Caenorhabditis elegans: one gene and its partner. The protein of the gene in region 1 purifies or fractionates together with the protein of each later gene. This does not show direct contact. Each region holds a gene or a part of one and is shown on either strand. Other genes may lie near its edges. The genes, in order: epg-7 and sqst-1.

Region 1 (3,928 bases):
AAAAATATGCACAAATATCTAACACTGAAGTTCCCATCAAGCTTTCGAAAAAAACTTTTTGAAACGTTTAGAGCATTCTTCCATGTTCGAAGCTGTACAATTTAAATAAAAATATATTTATATTGAATTATCATACAATGTCCGGTGAAATTTGAAACGAATCTCAATGTTTTGATGAAAATTGAGTAAGTTACACTTTTTGACAGGAAATAAAACATTATTTTTAAAACTACTTTGAAATTTTATTACAATAATTGGTATTTTTTATAATGAAAAAAGTAATTTTAAACGTTCTACCCACTGACATCAATATGATTCAAGCGCCAAGTCTTATTTTTCGTTTTTTCCGAGACCATACAGTTTTCACTTTTAACTCTTAACTCCCATTCTCACCCGGAACTGAATATAATACAAAAATAATGATTATTGATAATCATATATATATCTCTCTTATCATTTTCCCAGTGATTTTTCTGTGTTCCCGAACGCAATTATTACCTGTATCTTTCTACCCATCTGAACAAAAGAGCAAACATTGAAAGACGAGAAAAAAAAACAAAAATATTTACTGGACCGTAAGACCGAGGTCAGATAAGATACTTGAAATGTTCTTCCCAGTGTTTTTCTAAGTATGTATGTATGTGTGTATGTGAGACGGTCGGCGCCTGTACTAGTTTGTTTCTGTTTTTGTCGCATACAGTTAGATGACTCTATTCTTAATTTTGACGTTTGCATTTCTGTGCTGAACCTGTGGTGAGCCTCCATCAATGTTTAATAACTCATCGTTTTTATTTCTCAACATCATAAGTTATTTAAAATGTATGTACATGTAAAACAGTTCAGTATGATCATTATTGTTTGCGAAGTCGGTGACAGAAATCATGTGGTTTTTAAGAAAAGTAAACTGTTTTCGCTTATGTACTTGAATAGTGTTTCACATTTTGTCAGTTGTATTTCAGTTATTGTTTTTCAAAGATAATAGCATACTGTAAAAATGTAACTTTTCAAAGCATTTTTTGTTTAAAAATTTCTATAAATCGGGCTGATTTCGTCTTAAGAGTGGAGTCGCGCCTGTGTTCATTCTTAGTGTAGAAACAAACTCTAGTTTTTAAAAATTGAAGGGCGAAACACGAATACGCAGCTCAAGCTTTCATGCATTCATATGGTGCTGAAAGGACCAAATATCGTAATAAACTGTTTCAAAAAAATTGGAAATGTTTTCGTTTCTAGTAAAAAACGGTGAAAACTCAGTTCTCAACAATTTTTTAGAAGTAGGTTTTCAAGAAAATAATGCTTTAATTATGTTGAAAATGTTTATATTCCAACATTGGTGGAGTTCAAACATACCACAGTTTTGGCGAAAAATGGCACGAACTAAGATTTTACAACTTTGACACAAACGTGAAAAATTCTAAAATGTTTTGAAACGTTTTATTTAATATTTAATATTTTCCTTTTCCAATAGGCAGGTTTTTAATCAGTTCTCCAGTGGCCATACTCCATATTCAAACCTAACACTATCCGGCCAGGTGGTCCCCGTTCTCCAATCGGCTCTCATCGTAAAAGATTAACTACTAATTCTTTTTGGCCATCTGCAGTGGTCAGACCCAATTTTTCTAAAGGAATACTTTTTTTTAGAGTTCTGCATTTGTTTCTCCAACTATGTTGTAGCATGTTGAAAAATGTCAGTTATTCAGTCATGAAACCTTGAAATCGATCTCAACAGTAGTTGAATTGATGAGATCAACCCACCTACAAATGTCAATGCACTAACTTTGTACTTCGCCATAAAATTCAAAATTTTACTTTCAGTCAGTTATGAAGTGTGGCGTCTCAAATTGTTCTACTGATAGCATTTTGAAATAAAAAAATCAAGATAATCAAAACACACCTGGTCACTCTAAATACCTTTTTACACTAACAAAATCATTCTCGTCTTGATTTCAACATCGATCTCTGCCCAACTCACGGGATGAATATGAGGGCCGTGGCTATGCCTGTGTCAGTGATGTGCGTGTGAGTGTGCAACAACGCTCACTGCCAACGCAAAAGTGCGTTGTGATGCAAGAGATTTAGAGAGAACGACAAAGAGGCAAAGGGAGCGTTTTCTGCCTCGCAGAGGAGGGTCTCCGCTCACAAGTCGGCCTCGTTTCTGCCTCTGTACGTCACGTGATTTGCAGCCGCAACACCACATTTGACGCAACATCACACAGTCATTTGCCATATCGACTCTCTTGTTTTTCTGTACTCTCTCTCGCTCATTTATCTCGTTCCAGATTATTTCCCAAAGCCGCTTGTTTTTACTCGATTTCCTCGTTATACCAATTTAATTTTCGACTTTAAAGTTAAGGTTTCAAATTTTTAGATTCAAAAATGATAATGTATCATATATTCTACATGGATAGGGGCCAGGCCATGGTATTTGATTTAAATGTAAGTTTAAAAACCTGGCTATCAACTCATGAAATAGTAAACTTACAGGCAGAAACTACAACATTCAATGTACTACAGGATATGGTATCCAAGGAGGTTGGTCATCGAATCTCTGATCTGGTATGTGTTTTGTCATTTATTGAAGTCAAAACGTGTAACGGATTTGCAGACTTTTCTTGATGAAAGCGGTACTACCCCGGATGGTAACAAAAGTTTGGCAGAGATCAGTACTCTTGGCACTGAAACATCTCCAGTGTACTTTTTTCTAAAATCTGGAAACGAAAGAGAAAACCACAACGGCAGTGATGTGACGTACATTTTTCAGATGATTGACGATGCTGTTGATCAGGTTAGTTGTTTTCAAAACATTTATAAGAAAGCAATCTTGTATTCCAGGCACAATACGTTCTGAAAAATCAGGACCCTCTGAAAATCTACATGGAGCTGCCAGAACGAGCAAAAAACTGTAGAAAAGTCTGCGCAGAGACTTTGCAAATGTGTGCCAGGCTGGTCCAACAGCATAGGTTTTTACATAAGGTAGGATTTCGACAAGAATTTTAATTATCAATATTTATTTGAAAGAATCTTTACCTTTCACGATATTCCAGTTACCAAAATTTACAATGGTAATCGTTTCAGGGTTGGTTGGCGTTGATTAACAATCTGGATATATCTGTCAGCAAAATGGACAAAAGGGGAAAGAAGTTCAAATTGGTACACTCAAAAAGCGAAGAACTCATTGAAAAGTCGGACACACTCCTGTTGAACTATTCCGACGTTGTTGAACAATTACGAAGGATCGAAGTTCCTTCGGAAATTTTTGTGAAACCAGCGTCTTTGATGACTTCCACATCAACTCCAATCAATCCAGACGAAAAATGTACATTGTTTGATTTTATTGCGATGGCTGATCCAGAAGCATCTCTTGATGGTTTACCTGACTTGGTTAATGAGAAGATTCGACAGCTCAAGGAGCAAAATGCTATTAGTGTATATACGAGGCTCCAATCTGTACATGAAACGTCGAAGAATCAAGAGTATCGAGATTTCAAGGGAATTAATAAACGATTTTCTCAGCTTGAGTTTAGTTTGAAAAGCTGTGAAGGTAAGTAAAAACTAGAACTAGGCCTATAACTTAAAATAACAACATATATTTTTAGAAAGAAAAAACTTGGTTCACAAACTAGTCGCTCAAATTTTGGAAACTCCGAAAATCAATGACCAGAATAAGCTACCACCAATTATCGAAGAACACCGTCAATGCATGCTGACTATTTTCGAAAACTTTTCAGAATTTCGAAATATGGTCCGCGTTTTTGATCAGTCAAAACAGGAAATTCTAAAAAATTTGCGAACGAGAATGTCTGGATTTGTGGTTCAAAACTACGATCGATTACGCGTTGTTCTCAACGACATTGTACAGTACGAATACAAAAGCAATGCAGTTCGCATTCACATGGATCTTATTGGTCAGATTCGAGATGCACCGATTCTT
Region 2 (3,928 bases), on another chromosome or scaffold:
TGTAGCAGGACTTCTTCTTAGCCTTCTTGATCTTTGGTCCAGACAAGCTATCTGCTTGCTTCTTCGAAGATTCCTCGCTCTTCTCAGCTTCAGCAGTTTCCGTTCCAAGATATTTCTCCTCACAGTGTCTTTTCAAATTATCCATTTTCTCTTCGAATTTGGTCATTCCTGCTTCCATGGTCGAGCGTTCAATGATCTTTTTATCCATATTGGCCTGTGCACCATCTGCCAAATCCAAGAAGCTTCTGCTCAAAGTACTGAAAGTTTCCTTGAGCAACGCTGCACTATTAATAATGGCTGCACGGGTCTCCTCATTGAAGAATTGTGGTGGTGGTAGAGCAGAAGTTGGAGATGGTGGGATCCGAGGCTCCTGGGCTGGTTTTGGAACTGCTCCATTTCCGATGGTTGGAGATGGAGGGAATGGAACTGGAGTGGAGACTGGTGGAGCTTGAGGCATTGGAGCTGGATTAACTTGATGTGAAGGAACGAGTCTCGTGATAACAGTCTTGTTGATCCCCTTGATAGTTTGTGGTTGTTGGATCTTGTGCTGCATGTAAGTTGGGAAGACATTGTTCGGAGAGTTTGATGTCACATATGATGGGATCATTGTTTTCTTTGGCTCCACAATTCTGATCATTGCATGCTCATAATGTAAAGATTTTCTCTCACACTTCTCGCACAAATCATAATCGGCACATTCGAGACACTTGAACCTATGTCCGATGATGTCACCGAGGCAAGCATCACAAGACGCCGAGTGCTTCACTGGAGGGAATGGCTTCTGAACTTCCTCGACAACAGGTTCTCTTTCCTTTGCATGAAGATCAGCAACCATCGTCTCCAAAGCGCTAACTCTTGAGAGCTCCTTTTGCAACTTCTCCAGCGTCTTCAATGTGAGCTCCTGGTTGTTCTCGATACGCTTCAGCGAGGATCTGCTCTTTGATTCACGATCAGCATCGGAAGCTTTTTTGGCAGTTTCAGTGCTCACTGATGGTAGGGCTGTTGGACGAAGGGGAACAGTTTCCAGGCGAACAAAAAGTTGAGGAGTTCGAGAGAATGTAGTGATTCGAATCTTAGACATAATCTGATCCGAATTGGTGAACTCAAAGATTGGTCCGTTGACATCACCTGAAAATTTGAAGATTTGGAAAAAAGTTACTGTGAGATATCTAGGGAAATTAGAAATCTTAAATATAATCTAATTAAATTGAGTTTTACAAAAATAACGACCTTTTAAATCTAGTTAAACTTTAAATTTAAAAAAATGGTTTGTTTAAAGGCGCACACTCTTCCTCGGAACGTCCATTAAAAATTTCAATCGTGCCGAGACCGGGCACCGTACTTTTTTGTCATAACATAGGTGTGGCATACAAATACTCTATTTGCACAATTGATTCGTCTAGCAAACGGGGCAAAAACAAAAGTATAATATCTTACCGTAGTAGAGACGATAATCAGCCGATGGGAACAGTTCTCTTGCCTTCTCGGAGATCTGTTGAAGAGCCTGATCGTTCTTCAAAATCATGAGAACCGATTGCGGATTGTGACTTGTATAGAAAGTCACACGAACTTGCATTTGGTGAGGAGCGGATGATGCAGCAGCCATCTGAGTAAAATGAGAAGTTATTTGAAAGTGAGTGAAAAGAGAGTGAAAGATAATAGAACAAGTATTGACATTATTGAGTTGCGAGAGTTGCGAAATCGAAAAAAGGAAATTTCGAAATATTATACTTCGAATAATCATCATAATGATTGTATTGTGTAAGAAATTGAAACCATAATTCATTTTTTTGGAGAATAATGCAACAACAAAAAGGAAATGTACTATTTTTGGAACCTTTAAAGATGTTTACGAGATGAACAAAGGGGGCAAGAACGGAGATATGAAAAGAAAAACACTCAAGGCTTCAAAGTTCAAGGTGGTATCTAGATCTAGTAGATCACTTCCAACAAGTTTTTATTATCATTCATCTAAATTTCTTGGAGACTATTTTTGTTAGGATCTAGTTGAACAGATTCTCTAGAACTAAAATATAAACTTTCATTATCATAAGTGACTAATTTCGTGAAGGCGTCAAAAATTTAGTAGCAGTAGAGAGTTGCCTGTAGGCAGGCAAGTAGGTACTGTTGGGCCTACAAGAAAGTTATGTAAAAATGCAATTAAATATTATCCATACGCGAAATGTTGTGATTTTTGCGCCAAAACTACGGTACCCGGTCTCGACACGACAATTTTTTTCAAATTCCAACCGGTACTGTATTCTAAAACTTTTTTCTAAAACAATTCTGTGCTTTTAAATTTCAATTTTTAGTCTTTAAATAAACAAATAAATTGTTAAGGAAAACAATTAAGCAGCAAAAAACGTTTGAAATTACAGTACTCTTTAAAGGCGCATACTTGCTTGTATTTTACAACAAAAAAGCGTGTTGAGACCGGGTACCGTATTTTTGACGGAAAAAATCAGAAAGGATAATACACAGCCTCCTCACGTGGAAATGACCCAACAAGGGGGCTTGCGCGTTTCTCGTGAGCGTTGCAAAATTTTACCACTGAAAAATGATTTCCTTCGGTTTTTGTGGGTTTAAAATCGATTTCATACTTTGAAATTAGGTATCAATTGTAAAGCTAATTCGGGGAAAGGTGGAGAAAAAAGTTTTTTGATTTTGGTTCAAAAATAAAAGCGCTGATATAAAAAGTAAAAACAACTAAAAATTGAGTTTTTCTCATATTTTGTATATTTATCATCATTTTTCTAGTAGAAATTGATGTTTATTTGAAAAGTAATCTTCCACCCAAGCTTATGTTATGAAAAATATAAAGAAAAACAGTAAATTGAAAGTTTTGGTAATTTCTCAATTTTCCACGCGATGCACGAGAAGTGCGCCAACGGACCGATTTCCACTGGAGGAGACTGTGTAATAGTCAAAATGACAAAAAAGAAACGGTTTGCCAAAAAACGAGAATATTCATTGCGAAATTTTGCTAATTTTCGAATATTTGATTCGGTTACACAACCGCAAGAAATTGCTAGTTTTAGATTTTAGAAAAGGAATTTCCTACTTAAATATCGTGTCAAAGCAAGAGTATTCATCTGGAACATTCCACTACCGAGCCTACGAGTGTAAGTGTTGCTATGGGCAAAATGAGGCCGAATGATGCCTCTTCATCTCTGTGTCTCGCATTCTTTCTCGATATTTCTATGCATAAACACATGACCAGCCTCCTCTAGGCCGATTGATTGTCCCTCTGCATAGGGCCCAAGGTGAGACGCAGATTGCAGACGGCTTCGCGAATAGTGTAGGCTGTGAGAAAGAGACGAATGACGAGAAAATACGCACAGCTGAGTGAACGGGGAATCGATGGTTTATCGACCGAAAATGGAACTGTTTTAGGAGTGAAGTGTTGCTTTTTTTTTGAATTTGAGGCGAGATGAACATGTGGTGATGCTATCAATTGATAAGGTACTGATATGCTGCATTTAGTGACTGTACAGCTGATCATTTATATTTGGAGAAGAGAACGAGACTGTATGACGTCATGATGATGAAGAGGGGTTTGTTGTGAAATGGGAAGCTAGAAAGGTCTCTATAATCTAACATCGAAATTGAAACGTGGAATTTTCTGAAATTTGACTCATGACAGTCGCATTTCAGGAAATCTCGATTTTTTCCGAAACGAAAAACACCTGCAACTTCTCAAACTGGACCCCTTCAAAGCAATCTATTACGGACTGGAAGCTTAAACTTTATGATATGCCACGAATGATCTCGATGTTCCCTAAGATTCGAAAATTAATATTAAAAATTCAGATAGTAACAACAAAAATAATTCTACAACAGCTAAAAACAAGCAATATAAATCTAATGGATTTCATCTTTGAATGATCTTCGTGATTTGTCCTTGTAAGTGTAGTCGGGCTCCTCTTCC

Evidence for each region.
Region 2: the proteins of epg-7 (region 1) and sqst-1 purify together in Caenorhabditis elegans (affinity purification with western blotting, with the first as the bait; one study listed by BioGRID). This does not show direct contact.

Annotation. Positions count from the first base shown.
Region 1 is NC_003284.9:7,332,406-7,336,333, forward strand, and holds the start of epg-7 (Autophagy-related protein 11 C-terminal domain-containing protein), read left to right. Parts: upstream 1-2,308; 5' UTR 2,309-2,373; coding exon 2,374-2,433; intron 2,434-2,481; coding exon 2,482-2,553; intron 2,554-2,602; coding exon 2,603-2,782; intron 2,783-2,829; coding exon 2,830-2,970; intron 2,971-3,072; coding exon 3,073-3,538; intron 3,539-3,593; coding exon 3,594-3,928.
Region 2 is NC_003282.8:12,031,960-12,035,887, reverse strand, and holds the start of sqst-1 (ZZ-type domain-containing protein), read right to left. Parts: upstream 1,607-3,928; coding exon 1,438-1,606; intron 1,129-1,437; coding exon 1-1,128. Other genes in the region: mrpl-51 (Large ribosomal subunit protein mL51), read right to left, coding at 3,862-3,928.